4 linked regions of the Arabidopsis thaliana genome follow. The protein of the gene in region 3 interacts with the protein of the main gene of each other region in a pairwise test. Each region holds a gene or a part of one and is shown on either strand. Other genes may lie near its edges.

Region 1 (4,759 bases), on a different chromosome or scaffold from region 3:
CTAGATCTTTGTTATTACTTTTAATTATCTTTCAATGTAAACATGGAAAAAAAAATAAAAAAACTGGTACATTTTGTATGCATTTTTGCGGTTATAAACTTTGGAATTGTAAAGAATGAACTAGATTTTAACCCGCGGTACACCGCGGAGACAATTTATTTTTTTAAATTAGTATATATAAAATTTTACAAATTATGTCTATCTATAAAATATTTTTATTTTATAGTTTATAATTGTTATTAAGTAACGTCCTTCTAAACCCGTTCCACCAAACTCGTCCTGTAAAAATAAACCGCGGTACCCCGCTAATTTAAATTTATAATTAAAATAAATATTTTACGGGATTGCAATTGTGTTTTAGTTTGTCAAACAAAATTTTGTTTTAAATAGTTGTCGAAATGTAGTTCAAATTTTGGAGACATAAGATTTAGTGAATAGATAAGAAATATATTTAGTTGCGTTTCGCTCATTTTAAGGGATTGCAATTGTCTTTTGGGTTGTCAAACATTTTTTGTTTTAAATAGTTGTCGAAATCTATTTCAAATTTTGGAAAAATCTGCGTGATATATGGGATTGGAATATATTTCGAATGTTTTTTTATTTGTTAATCAATTTATTGCTAAAAAAACAATAATTAAAAGCCAATGGTAGCCATTGTAAATAAATTCCAACTCCAGGATTTATTTCACAAAATGACTGCAACAATGTATATATAGATTCTATTTTTATGAATATAATTCCCTTTATATTTGGAGACTATTTCCTTTGAATGATGACTTGTCTGAATACAAATCTTCTCGTAAGTCCTTAAAGGATATTTGGTTTCCCACGAATCAAGCCAATACAAGTTTGTGTATGTCATTTATGTTTAAATGAGTTTAGTTGGCAAAGTAATCAAAATATTTCATTTCGAGAAGAACATATAGCTTACACGCCTCATAAGTTAGTTACCTACAGAAACTTATATGGTGGGGTGATATACTTTCGGATTCTAGGTAAGATATAGTATATGTGCGTTACTATTGCTCATACTATAAAAATCACCTTTTGGTTTTGAGTTATCATTTTGAAATCTACACATGATTGCGTGTACTCATTATTTAAAGTCGGCATAGATTTCTCCATATATATGTCATGATTCCATGAATGTTCTTTTAACATCTTAATGCGATAACACTTTACATTGAAATATTCAAGAAAAAACCAAGCTGTTTTCTAAATAAATTTAGTTTGTCCACGGTTAATAAAATTTAAAATTAGCGAAATACGTAAATAATCAAATGATATAACCAAAATGCCTATTATTTTTAAAACAACATTTTATTTTCTCTAATCTCATAAAATACTCTAATAAAATCTAGTTGTAAGTGAAAATAACACTAAGCTTCAAACACACACGTACATGAATGTTTGTTTTTTTCTTTCAAAAAAGCTGAACAATGACATTTTAAGTCCAAATGAAAACGATGGTATCATCTTGGACTTCCAATTTTCCATTGCCCATATTTTCTCTTTTCTTTTGTTTTTATCCAATTGGTATCGAATCATTCATATAAAATTATAAATCATGAAGTCAAATTTTTCAATAGTAACACTTGAGTAATAGTGGTCCTACCAACTTTTTACCAAGACAGATATATTTTTTTTAATACACTTTTTACCTTTTACTGTGTTTGCCTCAAATGAGTGTTTTTACCAGTTTCTGTGTATATAAATCTGCACTCCACTCTCAGTTTATCTTCATCCACAAGACAGTTCTTTAACAAAGTCATTAAACATTTCCCTTACCTTCTAAAGATCAACTCTTTCAAACACTTACTCTGCATGTAACTTCATAGATTGAACGAAGAACCAAAAAAACAGAGCAAAACAAACAAAAGATGGTTCAAAACCACCAAACAGTTCTCGCCGTCGATATGCCACAAACCGGCGGCTCCAAGTACTTGGACGACGACGGGAAAAACAAAAGAACTGGTAACAATGTTTCTCTCTTTCTCTTTAATTCATATTGAGACTTGGTTCTCTAATTATTCAAAAAAATATTAATTTGAACTCGAAACCTGCTCTGATTTAGTTATGTTGAAAAAACGAGAAAGTTGAAAGTTTTTAAATTTTGGGTTTTAGGGAGTGTTTGGACGGCGAGTGCACACATAATAACGGCAGTGATAGGTTCGGGAGTTTTGTCACTAGCGTGGGCTACGGCGCAGCTAGGTTGGCTCGCCGGACCGGTGGTGATGTTGCTCTTCTCTGCCGTCACTTATTTCACTTCTTCTCTTCTTGCTGCTTGTTACCGCTCCGGCGACCCTATCTCCGGCAAGAGGAACTACACTTATATGGATGCTGTCCGATCAAATCTCGGTAAATACAAAACTTCAAAGTAGAAATCGGACAATGGAGATCAGATCAGAACAGAGCATTAACATTTTTCATTGTTCTGTATAGGTGGCGTGAAGGTGACGCTATGTGGGATTGTTCAGTATCTTAATATCTTTGGTGTTGCTATTGGCTACACAATTGCTTCAGCTATAAGCATGATGTGAGTGTTCTCACTAATTAACTCTTAAAACTACGAAGTTAGGTAATGGACCAAATAGGTTTTGATGATAATAAAAAATAAACAAAATTTTGTTTTTGAAAAACAGGGCAATAAAGAGATCAAACTGTTTCCACAAGAGTGGAGGGAAAGATCCATGTCACATGAACAGTAATCCTTACATGATAGCTTTTGGATTAGTCCAGATTCTATTCTCTCAGATTCCAGATTTTGATCAACTTTGGTGGCTCTCAATCCTCGCCGCCGTTATGTCCTTCACTTATTCCTCAGCCGGTCTCGCCCTCGGCATAGCCCAAGTTGTCGGTTCGTTTCTTGAACCATAAAGCTTCTAGGGTCTTAAATAAGAACTTTCATAGGTAAAAAACTAATAGGTTTTATGTGTTTTGGTTTCATCAGTTAATGGGAAGGTGAAGGGAAGTCTCACTGGGATTAGCATAGGAGCAGTAACAGAGACACAGAAGATATGGAGGACCTTTCAAGCTCTTGGAGACATTGCTTTTGCTTACTCTTACTCCATTATCCTCATCGAGATTCAGGTACTTATACCTTCTTTACAAGTCTTGATGATCAAAGCCATTAATTACTGGTCCCATCATGAAGCTTTTTTTATTCTGGGATCTGAAACAGGACACAGTGAAGTCACCACCATCAGAAGAGAAGACGATGAAGAAGGCAACACTTGTGAGCGTCAGTGTAACGACTATGTTCTATATGTTGTGTGGATGTATGGGATATGCAGCCTTTGGAGACTTGTCTCCGGGAAATCTCTTAACCGGTTTCGGGTTTTATAATCCTTATTGGCTTCTTGACATTGCAAATGCAGCCATTGTGATTCACCTTATTGGTGCATACCAAGTCTATTGCCAACCTCTGTTTGCTTTCATCGAGAAGCAAGCTTCCATTCAATTCCCTGATAGTGAGTTCATTGCAAAAGATATCAAAATTCCAATTCCTGGTTTCAAGCCTCTCCGCTTGAATGTCTTCAGGTACAAATCTTGCCTTTAAACTAATGGGATCTGAGTTTTAAACATGATGTGTATGTAATAATCAAAGCTTCTGTGTGGCGTGGAATGGCTTACTCAGGTTGATATGGAGGACAGTGTTTGTGATCATAACGACAGTTATCTCAATGCTTCTTCCGTTTTTCAACGACGTTGTGGGTCTGCTCGGGGCACTAGGGTTTTGGCCATTGACGGTGTATTTTCCAGTGGAAATGTACATCGCGCAGAAGAAGATACCTAGATGGAGCACCAGATGGGTTTGCCTTCAAGTCTTCAGCTTAGGGTGTCTAGTAGTTAGCATTGCTGCAGCTGCAGGGTCCATAGCTGGAGTACTTCTTGATCTAAAGTCCTACAAGCCATTTCGAAGCGAATACTGATCAACTTGAATAGTAGCCAATTCAAAGCGATGACTAAGTCAGTTTTAAACACAATGGATTTATCAAGAACAGTCAAGAGAACCAAGAACCATGAATTTGGGAATTTTGATCAGCTTTTTTTTATATAGATAGAAGCAATAATGCTGTTAGTTCTTCTCTATAATCTTCTCTGTACCCTGAAGGCAAGAATTGTAGTCCTAATGAGTAAATCTTCGATTAATGACAGAGTCATGTGCTGCAACAGAATCATGAACTAGCACCATAATAGTATATTACCATTGTGGTAAAATTTCAATAACAAGTTCTTGTACTTGCTCTTCTTTCCATGATCTGATATTTGCCGTATGAACCATTCACTAAGGCACACAAGTATGGATTATTTAAGCGAAACAATCACCAGAGCAGTGCAGTAACAAAAGATCAAGACTTTATCAATGCCATCATAACTTACATAACTGAGTCATACATATCAATTCGCTTATTCAGTCTACAACTAGCAAAGATTTCTAATTCCTGTAAATCACATACTGTAGATTCCACATTCGAGGTCCTCAAATATCAACTTGCAGCAAGAAGCTTTTGCAACTGACCACTCTCCAAAGCAGCTCCAAGATCTGAAGCAACAAGATAAACAGCCAAGGCTTGTGAGTTACAAGGGAAATTTGGACAAAAGAATGAAACTTGGAGGAGATAGTGAGCTCATCATACCATCTGATCCACCAATATGCTTGCCGTTAACAAAAACTTGCGGGACAGTACGACGACCAACGAATTCTAAAAGCTCATACTGGATTTGATCTCCGTCCTCTGCAAAAACAAATCTCTCA
Region 2 (5,862 bases), on a different chromosome or scaffold from region 3:
CGATAACTTCAAGGCTCAATTGGGTCTACAGGCATGTCGGAACGCAGCTTAAACTCGATGTCTTCAGTTCGCCTTACGTAAAACGTGATTCAGACTTAGGGAGGGCTCATAATCTAGAGGTGTATCTCCATGTTTTGGATGGCTTCCACCGCAAGAAATCTGGGTTTAGGGTTAACGCTAGGAGAGACGTTGCTTCGGTGAACAAGAGCACAGATATGTTGTTGGATCATCTAAGAATACCTGAGTTTTGGTACCAAGTGGCACATAAGGGTCTGATCCTTAACAAACAGACTGGCCGGTGGGTGAAGCCTGTCCGTGCACCTGAAGACATTCCCTCTCCGTTACCGACCGGACCAAAACCTATTTATAGCTTATGAGAAATAAATTTATTTTCCATTCCATTCATTCGTTTTCTTGAATCTTTAGTCCTTGTGAATTTTGGTTACAACATTTCAGTTCAATGAATATAGATCAAGCTGTGACAATAATGTATATATGTTTGAAACTACTTTAAATACAATTTGCATCAGCTAAAGAAATCAGAACATCAGAGTAGAAGAATATTAATGATGAAAAATCAAGTTGATGTTTAAAAGTAGCTTACAAAGTTACAAGTTACAACAACCATGGAACACATACAAAGAAGAATCCTAAACAAACCCTAAAATTCACACACATAACAATAAAAGCTTCTAAAAAACCAGCAAAACAAATCTATGAGATAATTTGGGGATTGGATTCAAATTTTAAACGCCTGCTATTGCGTTGAAATCTTGATAACGAGACATTGCGCCTTTGAACTCGTGTTCTTCTGGTTTGTGAGAGCTCAAGCTATGCGGAATGTATGCTCTGAAAATCTCCTCTAGGTCTGGACTCTGCTTCAGCTCACGGCAAGCTACCTCGAGAGCTGTGTGTTCGAACCCTCCGTAGAATTTCTGGCGGCACACATATCCGAAGATGAGAGAGGTGATAATGAGAGGGATCACAAGGGCCGTGTAGAAGAATGTCTTGGCTCCTAAGTAGCCAAACATTACCACTTGGAATAGAAACAACGCTGCTAGTATGCGCTGGTGAATATGCGGCCACATTCTTCCATAGCTCTCGTATGATGGAACGTACACTTTCAACGCCTGTCATACCCCGAAATAAAACAGTTCAAGATCACATTTTTGATAACCTAAGTGTTTATGGGTATAGTAAATAGAGAGAAAGTCTGACCTGATTCCTGAGGACTAGCCAGCCTAAACCAAAGTAGGTGATGCCGAATATGAGGATAAGAGGAGCAATGACTGAATAGCAGAACGTGATTGTGAGGATGAGCATGTCTCCGGGAACCCTAGTCGCATAGCTTAAGTCTCCCGGGTACCAAGCTTCTTTGACCTCCGCTTCGGTTTTGCAGAGATACTTCTTTTTCAGGTGGAAGATTATCAAAGGTATGATCCGAGACAGCTCAAGGCCATAACCGATAAAGAACCTGAAAAAAAATCATCAACATAAGATTTAGGGAACAAACGAACAATACATATGCTATTTAAGTCAAGAAGACCAAAATCTCACTTGAGAGCAACGTAGGTCAGGAAGAAAGTTGCGCTCTTAGGGAGGCTAGTAGCCAAAAGGTTAATAATCATGTCGAGTTTGGGATTTTTCGCGATATCCTTCACTGTGTTGAACAAAGTCCCAGCAAGGGTAACACCAATGAAGACATTAAAGACCGAGAAGTAAAAGTACTTCCCTGAAGCAGCCCTAATGGCATGGCTCTGTGAAGGAATCCCCTCGGCTTTGGAGAGAAACAAGAGAAGCTTCGGCAACATGGCCAAGAAAACAATGAGCGCAATCTGAGGAAGGAAAGACTCCAAAACGGTTCTTATGGCGGTTATCTCCACAACCGGCTTTATGAACGGAATAATCCTCTGAAGATTCTTAAGAGTGGTGATGGCAGAGACGAACGCGATTGGTATCATGTAAAACAGAATGGTCACTGCAACAAAGAAGTAGATGAAGTATTGCCGGATTATTCTGCTGAAGAGCTTGATGTTGAGATTCTGCCATAGGAGCTGCCGTGGCTCAGGAGCTTCGGTCACAGTCCATTTATCAACCATCTGGCAGTGCAGAGACTGAGCTGCTGATGCAGCAGCAACCCTGGTTGTGAAGAAAACCACTGCTGCGGTTTGCTGCTTCTCAGCAAGAACCGCTTTCTGCTCTGTTTCCAGTTTGGCTACAGACTCGTTGATTAGCTCAGTGTAATACTCAATGCTGTCTACTTGTTTACCGACTAGCCCACAGAAGCCGGTTTTGTTCGTGGGACGGTTATTAGTTGCTGCTAATATTGCTTCTGCTCGCGCAAGCTTCTTCTTGTAACCTTCCAATTTTTCCCATATTTTATTAACCTATACAACACAACAAAGAGCAAAGGTTAACATATTAACATTATGATGCCTAAAACCTTAAAACATATGACTTTCTTAGGCCAGAACAAGTAGATACCTTGCTGTTTTCTGTTGCGACAAGCGATCTGTAGAATGTCTCAGGGTATATTTCTCTGAAATAAGAATCAATAAACTCTTTCTGTGTCTGCCCGTCAGGTGGTGCAGGCATATCCCTAACAAGAATAGCGAATTGCTCGGGTTTTACATCAGCAGACATCAGAGCTTGAGCTCTCAATGAAGAGACATGCTTATAAGCTTTCCACAAGAAGAAATATGTGACCAAAGATATCCAGTAAACAGCTCCTAGGAACGCCCACAGCCTCGAACTTTTTTTCTGTTCAAATGAAAGGATACACATTTTGCTTTAGACTATCAAAAACTGAAAATGAATCAATAGGCAGAATGGAGTTATTGTTGTGTTTACTTACTGTGATGTTAGCCATTGATAGATTATCAAGTTGGCTAAAAGTTCCTTTGCTTGTGGTATCTGTCGCATTCTTTGTGTTCTTTATGTTGTTGTCTGTAGCGGCTAGAGGCAGTAGAGTTGGTAGGAGAAGAAGACTGGAACAAGCAAATATCCCCAGAACTGCATCAAACAAAAGCCAATTTTCAAGACATCATAAACACTTTACCTTCACCAAAATCACTGGCTCGTATATATAGACTTCAAAAAGTTCTATCTACTGATTCTAATTTCAATCACCAATGTCTAAAAGTAAAACAGAGATAACATAACATAGCAAACAAAATAGTCAGAGCCAGCAATTTACAAACAAAAAAGTTTCCATTTTGAAACGTTTTTTCCCCCAATTGTCTCTAAAGATCGAAACTTTATTAGGTTAAATCTCAAACCCAAATCAAAACCAACAGAAATCAGCAGAATTCCACCAAACCCTTGAATTGGAACCACTAAAGTAACAGAGAACAGAGATGAACAGAGAGAGATTGAGATCGAACCAGTGCTCAAGAAGACAAAGTGGACAGCAGTATCGACGCCGGATAAGTTAACGACATCTTGTTCAGAGGAAGTCAAAGCTTCACGCATCCAAGCAAAAGGGTTTCGAGTCAAGGAGGTGCCTTCCCATGGCTCCAGCCCTTTAAGGATCCGATTCGGGTAATAAATGGGAGCATTTCCAGATTTGCGAGAAAGCCAGGTGAAGAGAAGCATGAGAATGACGAAGATAACAAAAGATGTCCCTAAGGACACAAGAAAAGATCCAAACTCCATCTGGGTTTAGCCAGAGGAATCTCTCAAGCTCTCTGTTTCTTTCTAAATCTTCTCAAGTTCTCTAAAGTAGCCGTTTTTAAAGGGGTACAACAAAAGAAGGAAAGTAACAGTTTATATTGTCTTCTGGTAATTACAGGTGAGAGAAGACAGGCTTTTTCTTTTGTCACTTTATTGGTGTATTCACAGAAAAAGAAAGGAAGATATTTTTCTATTGTTTGTTTAATCTCTTTGTGGAATTGTGTAACGGAGGAGACTGGAAAAATTGAATATTGTGGAATTGATTAAATGGTGGGAGAAGGAGAAGGAGAGGTGTGTGAGAAGAGAGTGAAGAGCGTGTTTAAGTGACAAGGCCGACAGGTGTTGATGATAGAGACACCAAAGGAGATGGATTTTTTAACCCTACTTCAGGGTCCTCCTCCTCCTCTCTTTACCCATTTTGTTCCCTTTTTTATACGTTTTTATTTTATTGTATAATAAATTATTCTTTGGATTTTTCTCTTTTTGTGCTTTTGAAGTTTCTTCTATTCCCTTCTATTTTCTAGGTTTGTTTCAAAAAAGTACTCGTAAACCTTATTTACTACTACTTAGAGATCTTTGATCAGTATGACATGTTTAATGTATCTCTTAATATTTGGAAAAACATATGGTAAGAAATTACCTTTATTTCGCAAATATTTACGGTTATGGTGACATATCAATCATATAACAATTTAAGTTCAAAAAAATACTTGTATTACTATATAAATCAAAGCATATTTTGATTTAAACTAGTAATTTCATCTGAAATCCGGTTTTTCAAATAATATATGTTTTCATCCTTTTACTTAATAGACATCTTTATAAAATATATGATAGTATATTAAATTTACATAATTTGAATAACTCATAAACAATTTGCGAAATAGGTTCGTTTATGTCGAAGTTGAATATTGACTGTGTCGTAAGTAATGTGGTGGAAAAGCATTCTTGATGATATGCGTCATTTTACTCTAGTGGAGACGACCCTTGAAACAAATATATGCATCTGATTTTACACAAAAGCCTACGAAACACATCAAGATCGAATGTTATTTTGTATGTGATCAAATTCAATCAGAGGTAATAGCAACCAACCACATCTCATCAGACTCCTCTACGTTTCTTTGAATTCTAAGATTAGAAAGAGTTCAATTTCTTCTTTGAGATGTGGAGCATTCGTGATTCCATGCTTTAACTTGAACGGATATTTGAATTCTAATCTCATAACTTGTCCACTCAACAGAAACAAAACAATTTTTTCTTCTTTTTTCCTTGGTTTTTTTTTCCTTAGTTTTGTTGACTGCTTGTAGGGAATACCAGTTATTTGGGTACTCTAATTCATATTTTTATTTCCTCCAATATCAATATTCCTCTATATTCATTCTTCTTTTACTCTAAATATTCCACCAATCACACATTATTTTATTTGTATTTTATTATAAGCATTCACCAGTCACATGCACTTTATATGTTTGTATAGTTTACGTAAGAAAAAATTGTCTTGTACGTGTGTAGAATAAAAATTACGGGGATCCACACAAAAAAAAAACTTTTATGCAGTTTCAACAAGTTTTGAAATATAAAACCAAAAAAAAAGAACTAAAAACAATCGAAAGACGTCCACGACATGCTGTATTTATGTTTTACCTCATTCTATTGTTTTAAATTTTAATACTAGTGTATATCTCTTCGCCATATTTTAATCAGAAGATAAATAAATTATTGGTTTTCTTTTTTTATACAAAGAAAATTTATTGTTTTGTTTGGTGTGTTTCCATGCATGACCAGTCATGTAATATTGGTCCAATACCGGTCCTTAATTCCTTTTATGTCGATCGGGTAAAATCCACAATAGATAGATCGAAAATATATGTTATTTTTGGCATCCAACTGAATTAAATAGATAACACAAGTCACTGGACAAAACAGTAGATTTCCACTGAGACAAACCATTAATTTGGGAGAATAAATTCATAAATCTATATATAATTTATGCGAATGTGATAAAAGTTGTTATTCACAAGACAAAAGAGACCCCAAAACAAAACAAAAAGCCGTTGTCCAGTTGTTAATGCCACCTCGACGTAAAACTTCATTGCCGACACCGAAAAAAAGCTTGAAAGGGTCCCAAACCTTATCTTTATTATATGTCGATCGAAGACCCTAAAGTCTTATCTACAATGATATTTC
Region 3 (4,262 bases):
TTTTAACAATGGTCCTGAATTCTGATGATGCAGTTTTACTTTTGGTTTACATGTATGTATCAAGGTTTGTGTTCCATATGGTCTTTCTTCATCTAGCATTTTTGTTTTTGTTTGTTGAGCCACTGAATCCAACTTGTACTTCTTCAGCTTTGCAGATTAGTAGATCGGTTTTTTTCCTGGCTATGTCTTTTGTCACTACAGACCCTCAACGCTAATTTTGTTCCTGAGCATGGCTATGTTGTTATGAGTTCCTGATATGAAATTTGCTGTGATCTCTTGGTTTCTTGATGCAATGTGTGCTTTTGCTTACTTCTCTGGCTCTTTTAAGTATTACCTACATAGACATTGCATAATTCTAAAACCTTTGCTTTTGCATTACTATGTTCATTCTTGGCAAGTGATAAGGAATCCACGTAGAATAGTATAATACAATCAAAAACTTTGATACATTGCGCAATGAGTGCGTGATGATAACCCTTTAATCAGGATCCAAGTGGTGATATTCACTGATTAATAACCTTCTAGAGAGCCATGCTATACTTCTTGTTCTTTTCGTATTACTATTTATGAAACTGGCTGTTCAAGAAGAATCAAATTCACTCCTTAAACTTTCTTGTTGTAAAAGACACTTTTGTTATAAGTCATTGGTCTTCCTGTGTCCTCTCTTTTTTTCCCTCACCTTTGGCAGCACAGAGAAAAGGTGAGGGAATCTTGTGAAGTGAAAGGATTCCTTAGCTCGTGGGTTTTAAAATTCCTTGGAGCAAAACTTCAAATGGTATCATGATTCCATTTTCAAATTAGGTAAGAAAAGGAGAATCTTGTTCTTTTTCAAGATCAAGACTTGTTATCTTTCTTATATTCCTCACACAAGAGGGGCTGTTAAAATATGAGAAAATACTGTTTCTCTACAATGTTCTTATATAGAATTTGTGATGATGGTAGCACTACTAATAATATGATACCACTCTCTAGGCTGATGCTTTAACAAACATGAACTTAATAGCATAGTTTAAATGGTGAGCTTGCTTGTTTTAAGGTCTAGTAATGGTACTACTATACATTTTGTGGAATTATATACTTGTAAATGCTATGGAACTAGTGATCATGTGTGTTTGCTCGTCTTCCTTCAATCATGGGAAAGTTAATAAAGTGAGTCTATAATTTTACTAGTAGACGGTTGACCAAGTGTAGGTAGTTTACTTCACTTGATCAGCATGCTCAAATCTGTTCAAATTTTTAGGAGAGTAAACAGGAACCACAAGAACGGAACCTAAACCAACATCAGTCCAATTTAAGATACTTGGTTTTGTACGGAATGAAGTTTAATAGCAGTTTTCGGTCTTGGTTCATACAAGATGATGTTTATTGGCTTTGATTGGTAACACAATTTGAGGCGCTTGGAGCGGAGGTTGAACCGCTTCTTTGATTACCAATCGAACTGATGGAACTCATTGTTAGAAGAGGCGGCTAAAACAGATAGCTACTTCGTGTACAACCATAAGCATGTTTCAATGTACAGTATTCATTTTTTGTTGCTCTTATTCTGTAGTACACCTCTGATATTACTGCTACAATGAAATTCTTGTACGACATATATCAAAGTATTGGATTGGCAACGAACGGCTAAGCTTTAACACAAAAATGCCACGTAGGATTAGTCTGACCAATAAGAATCCATCTTTCAAATCCCCTTCCTTCAATCTTAACCAGAAAACTCAATTTATTTATAATCTTTAGAAAAAGGTACTTGAAGAAACAGTTTGCAGACAACATTGAAGAGAAGCTCTAAAGATTCTTTGTCTCTTTCTCTGTCGCATTGATTTGTAAAAAAGTGTGGCAGAGAGAAACCATGGCTATGGCGGAAATGGCAACGAAGTCTTCACTATCTGCAAAACTCACTCTTCCTTCTTCTTCTACTAAGAAGACACTGAGTCTGAGACAAGTCTCTGTTTCACTTCCAACATCAACTTCAATCTCTCTGTTATCTCTCTTTGCATCTCCTCCTCATGAAGCTAAAGCTGCTGTTTCCATTCCCAAGGACCAAATCGTCTCCTCTCTCACTGAAGTATATATAATAATCTCACTTTACTTCTTGAAATGACCAAAATGTCTCCTTTTTGTTGATGAGTGTTCTTGTGTCTTAACAGGTGGAGAAAACAATCAACCAAGTTCAAGAAACTGGTTCTAGTGTATTTGATGCAACGCAGCGTGTGTTCCAAGTAGTAGGAGATGCTCTTAAACCAGCTTTGGACACTGCTTTACCCATTGCAAAGCAAGCTGGTGAAGAAGCTATGAAGCTTGCTTCTCCTGCTTTCTCTGAAGCTTCAAAGAAAGCTCAAGAAGCAATGCAGAGCTCTGGTTTTGATTCTGAGCCTGTCTTTAATGCTGCAAAGGTCAGATTTCTTACATTCAAATATGTATGAGAACATAACAATTTAGGTTTTGGGGTTTAGGGTTTGAAGTGGTTTGTCTGTGTTTTGGTTGGGATGTAGACAGTAACAGATGTAGCACAACAGACGTCAAAAGCGATAGAAGATGCTAAACCGATTGCTTCATCGACCATGGATACGATTTCTTCAGCTGACCCTAGTGTCATTGTTGTTGCTGCTGGTGCTGCGTTTCTTGCTTACCTTCTTCTCCCTCCTGTTTTCTCTGCCATCTCTTTTAACTTCCGTGGTTACAAAGGTACCTCAAGACTCCATATAGATCATCTTGAGAACATATATAAGTTTTTGATTTGGTTATTAGTGATCTATTTTGTATCTAGAGTCTAATTCACCATAGCAAAATGCTGACAATTACTCTGTGTTTCTGGTTTGTGTTTTTTTAATAAAGGTGATCTTACGCCGGCTCAAACGCTTGACCTTCTTTGCACCAAGAACTACTTGATGGTGGATATAAGATCAGAGAAAGACAAGGAGAAAGCCGGGATTCCACGGCTCCCTTCGAATGCTAAGAACCGCGTGATCTCCATTCCGTATGTGTCTATCTAACTTTGATAATTCTTTTCATTATTATTATACTCAAAACATTGAACCTGTTCTTGTGATTATCAGATTAGAAGAACTACCAAACAAAGTAAAAGGAATCGTGAGGAACTCTAAACGAGTTGAAGCAGAGATAGCAGCATTAAAGATTTCTTACCTCAAGAAAATCAACAAAGGCTCCAATATCATCATCTTGGACTCGTGAGTTTTGATTATTACTCTTTTACAAGACCTTTTTTGTGAATCTTGCTTAATCTTTATTGGTCTTTTTGGCTCGTAGGTACACGGATTCGGCTAAGATAGTGGCGAAAACGTTAAAGGTTCTCGGGTACAAGAATTGCTATATTGTGACAGATGGATTCTCTGGTGGCAGAGGATGGTTGCAGAGCCGTTTAGGCACTGATTCTTACAACTTCTCGTTTGCACAAGTCTTGTCTCCATCGCGGATTATCCCGGCAGCTTCGAGAAGCTTTGGCACTAGGTCCGGAACCAAGTTCCTTCCTAGCTCCGACTGAAAACAGAGGATATATATAGTTTTACAAGTGTTGTTTAGTATTCCTTTATTTCTCAACTTTGAGAGATCTTTTGATAAGATAAGATTTTCGAATTACTTACTTACTTGTCTTTTACATTGATGATCATATATGGAAAAGATTACATCAAACTGAAGTAGTAGCTAATCATCTAAAAGAAAAAATGTATGATCAAAAACCGGGATGAGTTTGGCCTATAGTGGTAGGAAAAAATTGGGATAAAGACTAAATTCATAATGAGTTATGGACAACTAATTGTAATATCACATAGATGCACAATCATTTTGGACCATCTGGTAGGTGTGTGTGTGTGGCCTAGCCTTATCACTTAGTGGGATTGCCAATAGCTTTTTGCCGAAAATCCATTTTACAAATGGTTGAAGATAATAAAAATTAGACAAGTTTTTTTTTTTGTGGAGTTTAGTTTAGTGCTTTCAATCATGTGAAAACCAAGATATAAATTTTGAAAACTATTATAAATATTGTGCAATAGTTGAAGTATATACAAACTATTTTTAATCAAAATGTTGTCTAATTAATATTAATTGTAACACCGGTCACTCCGAATTGTAACAAAATTGTCTATTTTGCTAACGGATTCTACACCAAATTAAATAAAATTTATATAGACTAACATATATTGCTCTACTGATCCATACAATCTAAATTGATAGTGTATATAGACTGAAATCAATAAATAAAAGACATAAACCAAATAAGATGATGATCAAAAGTCGAAAAG
Region 4 (5,082 bases), on a different chromosome or scaffold from region 3:
ACGGATATTGAAACATCATGGGGACGCAAACGCAGCCACCAGCGCGGTATTGGTACTTTTCCCATATTTCTATAATCACAAGGACATGAGAGTGGTGAGGTAGCGTTTTGCGTTTTGAGTTAGCAGCGGCAGCAATCGGTCTACCTCAGTAAAGATAAGAGAGCTCGCAACCTACTTAATCTTTAATAATTTTAAATACCATTTAAGACATAACCTCTCAACAATTTTAGATTTATTTAGTTGTCATCAACAAATTTGCCCACAACTTTATCTTGGACTTTTGGCGAACAAGTTCAAACAAGAAATAATCCAAAACATACCAACATGACGTCGTATGAGGTCTTCCCATGTCTACATTTGGATCCAGCCATGTAATCGTGTAACATGTGACTTGATATATCCACTTATACAAAAAGCTGTCATGCCATTGGATTGCCATAAGCAGGCGTAAATGTGAATGTATGATCATAAAGACATTACATTATCACCTGTCGTCTTACTGCAAGTTTCATGTCCGTTAGTCTATGTATTAATATGAATTTAAACTATACTATCTTCTTTTTTTGTCTGCATTGCTTACTATCATATCATAGAGACAAAAAGCTGAAAAACAATATTGAAAATAAAGTTAAAGTTAAAAGCACTAATAATTACAACCACCACGAAACTCCTCATCATCAGTGCCCACACATGAAAGAAACCAAAAAAAAAAAACCAAAATTAAAAACATCTAATTAACGACCCCAACTCTAATTCCCGCCATATTCTTAAAACTAAACACTGAAAACGTCGCCGCTTCAGATCATCGAACAGACTCATGTCTCAAGTCTCCTTTCATCTGATGGTCTTACCCCACCCGATCTGCACCCGATTGGCGCAACTCCTGGATCCTTCTCACCACCTCCACCATAACTGGCCGCTTGTCTGGGTGCTGCTCTGTACAGTCAATGCCCAGCTGCAGCATTTCCGCCATCTCTTCTTCCACCGAGACAACTGTCTCGATACTCATCAGCTCCGAGTCAAAAACCTCATTCCTCCACTCCTCTCTCGCCACTGAATGCACCCACCTCGCCAAATCCATTCCTTCCTCGTTCATCACCGAGTTAGACGGAGCTTTTCCGGTGAGCAACTCTAGCAACACCACACCAAAGCTGTACACGTCCGCTTTCTGTGAGACACGCCTCGGGTCAGTTACTTCTGGCGCACGGTACCCAGTGGCCCGGTTTGGGGTTGTGGATGAGGCGCTTACAAGCTGAGCCAGGCCGAAATCAGACACTCGTGCGTCATGGGAGTTTGTTAAGAGGATATTGGAGGACTTGACGTTTCCGTGAGAGCTCAGTGGGTCTTGTGAGTGAAGATAGTCTAAGCCACGAGCAGCTCCAAGGGCGATGCCTGATCTGACTTCCCAGTTCAATGGAGGCCGGCCTGCACCTTTGTTTCCTGTAACATAGCATGACATTAAGCTCAATACACAAAAAAAACTACTGTCTGAAAGTAGAACACAGGAGGTCTGGATTTTTCTTTGTTCAAAATACAATTCTAAAAGATCAATTATCACAGCTAGTCAAGGAATCCAAGGTTATCTACTGTCCCCACTAATTCATAGACGTCCTGTGTAAGCCATGTGAATGATAAAAACTCTTCACTGATCCTTGTCAATGTGATGCAGTACCAAACTAATCATTTCATGATAGAATCTTTGTCATTTCTTTCTTAACAGTAATGTATATTAACGAATCCATTACTAATTATGCCAAACTTAAGATTCAGCAGAGAACTATTAACAATAAAAATCAAATTTTTCGCTGAGAAAGAAAGAGAGGGGTAGTTCTCACCGTGTAAGAGAGCTGATAAGCTTCCCATAGGCATGAAGTCATAGACAAGCAGCTTCTCGTCTCCACTGTAATAGTACGCTCTCAAGGGCACCAAGTTCTCATGATCCATCGCCCCAACAACCTCAATCTTCTCCTTAAACTCTCTGTCCGCCATCGTTACATCCTTCAGTCTCTTCACAGCCACCAATGTCACCGCGTCAAGCACCGCTTTATAAGCTGTCCCGAACGTTCCTTTCCCCAGAACCTCCGCTGAAGCTCTCAACAGATCCTCAAGATCGAAGACCTTTGTCGCATTCCCAAAAAACACTAACTTCTTCATCCCTGAACTGTTCACTTCCACAGCTTTCACTGCAGACGGAGAGTACTCATTTACATAGCTCCTATTCTCCGGTGCTTCCACGGCCGCTTTCTCGCCAGGAATTTCAACTTCATGGTGCTTGATGGTTGCAAGGTCAATGGCCCTTGTTCTCTCGTTCCCCTTTTTCCTAAAGAGAACCATCAAAATCATAACAATCAGGGACAAACCAACCACACATCCAATCACTATTCCAGCTATAGCTCCACCAGAAAGCTTCTTCCTTTTCTTCTTCTCCTCACTTCCTTCAACAGTTCCGGGAATATTGCCAACAGAAATTGGCTGGCTTGGCACAGTTCCCTCATTAGAGCAGACAACAAGCGGTTTGCCGCAGAGAGAAGTTCCCACAAACGAATCAGAATCAAACTTCTGCAAACTCTTAGGTATAGATCCGTTCAACAAGTTATTAGAAACGTTGAACTGATCCAAAGACAAATCCAAGTCTAAAAGAGAGCCAGAGAGCTTGTTATTCTCCAGGTACAGAGTCTTAAGCCTAGTAAGGTTTTTAAACCCTGACGAGATCTCTCCACTAAATTCATTCTCAGCTAGATTCAACCTAACAAGGTTACTAAGACTAAACAAAACCTCCGGAATCTCACCGGAGAATCTGTTACCCTGCAGGTACAAACGCCGAAGATCGGAGCAGCTTCCGAGATCCAAAGGAAGAGAACCAGTAAGACCATTGAGACGGAGACTAAGCGTCCGGAGCTGAGTTAAATTACCAAAAATACCCTCCGGTATATGACCGGAGAGCGTTTCACCGGGAAGACGAAGAGCAGTAACACGACCACCGTCGCATAAGACGCCGGTCCAGTTGCATGGTGAGGTTTGCTTGACGTCCCAGAGTAATGTACGACCACCGACGGCGGAACGAAAAGAGAGAAGAGCGGATTTGTCGGCGGCGAGATCTCCGATTGACGGAAGAGGAAGAGAAAGGAGAAGAATCGAGAAGAATATGGAGAGATTGGACATTGACGGTGTGAAGAAGAGTCGCATTGTAAGAAACAAAGAGAGAAACCCTAGAAAAAAGCTCTCAGTGAAGAAGCTGTGTGTGTGGTTTACAGAGAAAGAGTGAAGCTAGTCAACACTCTTAACACTCTCTCTTTCTCTTTTTCTCCACTTTTTGTTTTTTTCGAGTTTTGAAATTTTTTCAAATTAAAATCTAAATGTGACAAAAACGACAATTTCTATACAACAGTGACGTATGTCTTTATATGCTTCGACAAAAATATTTGTATTTTTTTTTTTTTAATTTCTATTATTGGTTTTTATGTTTTAACTTATTGATATTATAGAATCTTATGTGAATCATTCGTACCACTAAGCTGTGTTGTCTTATCTAAATTCCAACTGCTAAAGATTATTAACTGGATTACAAAAACTTAGAGTTTAATAATCAATCGGATTAACAAGAAAATTAGCAAGTGGGTGTGTGTGTTTATGGAGAAATGGAATACAAAGGTTTTGATTATGAAATTCCCTGCATCTGAGTAAAGTGGAATCACTCTTCTCAAGATAACACTTAATTCTATGTATTTTTTTTTGTTTTGCTTCTTTAATAATAAAATTGATTTTTTCTTACTATAGTAGTATGATAATGCATGGTTGTAAAAGAAAAGAAAAAAATGAACATGGGTATGCAGAGAAAGGTAGGACCATAAACATGTAAAAAAGCCAACAACAATAATTTAACAGCATTCAAAGTAGGCTCTTTTATTTACAAGTAACGCATTCTCTGTTTTTTTATTGTCTCCACTCTCTGCATATCAACGGCATCAATCTAAAGGGTCCCATTAATCTTACTATCTTACCAATTTTTCTATCCATCGAATAAATTATTTCATGGTCCACAAAGGTAATATTATTGTGATTCATATTTTGGATAATTTACAATAAAAGATGAAAAAAGATTCACGACGGTTACATTGATATGTGGTTGGGCGTTACATTTTAGAAGAAAAGAGTAAAACTATATGAAGTGTAGTAATTTAATGGATCTATTTTCGATCGCACATGTGGATAAACAGTTTGGTAGTTGGAATATTGAGTTGTTTTTAAGCCATTTAACAAAAGGTATACTATTGAGTTGTGTTTTTAACTATCTAGCTGGCTTTACTATTGTTTTACTTTGGAAGATAAAGACGTTAGTCATCATAATGTAAATACTAAGTATAGTAGCTGTGTGTTGAGACCCACTAAGCAATAAAAGACTATACTAATAGATATGGGATTATGGGAAACCTTTTCTTGATTGCCTAAAAAGGTTCCTCTAATGAGAGAGGGACAAACAAAGTAAATAAGAGGACTGAATTGAGTTCAAAGCATAGTTCTGTCACGGTTTAAGCTGGTCTAGCATACATAAACATTTGTTCAAGTAATAACATTCCTTTCGTTGTATATCACAACTAGGCTCTTAACCATATATAAATGATAAAACATACATACAAGATCATATCTCTTCTGCGTGACAAACAATCTCTAGAAACTAGAATTGTATGACCGAGGGCCTTTTAAATCTTGTAAAAAGCTCTCTGTTACTTGAAATTAAACTTCTACCTGTGGGGTTTCAGGGTTTTTGACGAAATTAAGTTTCTTTCTTTTGTTTCAAGCGATTACCCTTCTTCTGTACCAATGCAACAGCCGAGGTTATAACGCACAGAGCCAAGACTGAAAAAGCAATTGAAGTCTCTGACACTTTCATTCTTCGTAATGGTAATGATGGGTTTAAGCTCATAGTCCCAAATTTCGTTCTTGAATCTTCTGGTCTATATAACACGTGACATTAAAAACTATGTATCAGACCAAGACAACAATGTTGTGTCTTTTGATGAACTACTGAGAAAAAGGTTTCTATGAGATTACCTTATGAAATTCTTCATTTTATGCCACAAA

The links.
Region 1: the proteins of CaS (region 3) and AAP3 interact in a protein complementation assay, tested with the Arabidopsis thaliana proteins (one large-scale study listed by BioGRID).
Region 2: the proteins of CaS (region 3) and ERD4 interact in a protein complementation assay, tested with the Arabidopsis thaliana proteins (one large-scale study listed by BioGRID).
Region 4: the proteins of CaS (region 3) and RLK902 interact in a protein complementation assay, tested with the Arabidopsis thaliana proteins (one large-scale study listed by BioGRID).

Annotation. Positions count from the first base shown.
Region 1 is NC_003070.9:29,074,374-29,079,132, reverse strand, and holds AAP3 (amino acid permease 3), read left to right. Parts: upstream 1-1,742; 5' UTR 1,743-1,880; coding exon 1,881-1,974; intron 1,975-2,124; coding exon 2,125-2,358; intron 2,359-2,442; coding exon 2,443-2,536; intron 2,537-2,642; coding exon 2,643-2,857; intron 2,858-2,950; coding exon 2,951-3,090; intron 3,091-3,181; coding exon 3,182-3,540; intron 3,541-3,637; coding exon 3,638-3,932; 3' UTR 3,933-4,254; downstream 4,255-4,759. Other genes in the region: AT1G77370 (Glutaredoxin family protein), read right to left, coding at 4,491-4,546, 4,641-4,759. UniProt on the Arabidopsis thaliana protein: Amino acid-proton symporter. Stereospecific transporter with a broad specificity for GABA, tryptophan and both neutral and basic amino acids. High affinity transport of cationic amino acids.
Region 2 is NC_003070.9:10,713,684-10,719,545, reverse strand, and holds ERD4 (Early-responsive to dehydration stress protein (ERD4)), read right to left. Parts: upstream 4,065-5,862; 5' UTR 3,655-4,064; coding exon 3,384-3,654; intron 3,013-3,383; coding exon 2,855-3,012; intron 2,761-2,854; coding exon 2,485-2,760; intron 2,388-2,484; coding exon 1,558-2,387; intron 1,475-1,557; coding exon 1,219-1,474; intron 1,131-1,218; coding exon 747-1,130; 3' UTR 549-746; downstream 1-548. Other genes in the region: DLAH (alpha/beta-Hydrolases superfamily protein), read left to right, coding at 1-377. UniProt on the Arabidopsis thaliana protein: Acts as a hyperosmolarity-gated non-selective cation channel that permeates Ca(2+) ions. Mechanosensitive ion channel that converts mechanical stimuli into a flow of ions: activated in response to membrane stretch. Not activated in response to membrane poke.
Region 3 is NC_003076.8:7,736,000-7,740,261, reverse strand, and holds CaS (calcium sensing receptor), read left to right. Parts: upstream 1-1,726; 5' UTR 1,727-1,849; coding exon 1,850-2,065; intron 2,066-2,147; coding exon 2,148-2,393; intron 2,394-2,492; coding exon 2,493-2,685; intron 2,686-2,835; coding exon 2,836-2,977; intron 2,978-3,056; coding exon 3,057-3,188; coding exon of another isoform or gene 3,189-3,192; exon of another isoform or gene 3,193-3,267; coding exon 3,268-3,502; 3' UTR 3,503-3,744; downstream 3,745-4,262. UniProt on the Arabidopsis thaliana protein: Modulates cytoplasmic Ca(2+) concentration and is crucial for proper stomatal regulation in response to elevated levels of external Ca(2+).
Region 4 is NC_003074.8:6,104,196-6,109,277, reverse strand, and holds RLK902 (receptor-like kinase 902), read right to left. Parts: upstream 3,371-5,082; 5' UTR 3,187-3,370; coding exon 1,836-3,186; intron 1,441-1,835; coding exon 848-1,440; 3' UTR 541-847; downstream 1-540. Other genes in the region: AT3G17830 (Molecular chaperone Hsp40/DnaJ family protein), read right to left, coding at 4,775-4,955, 5,053-5,082.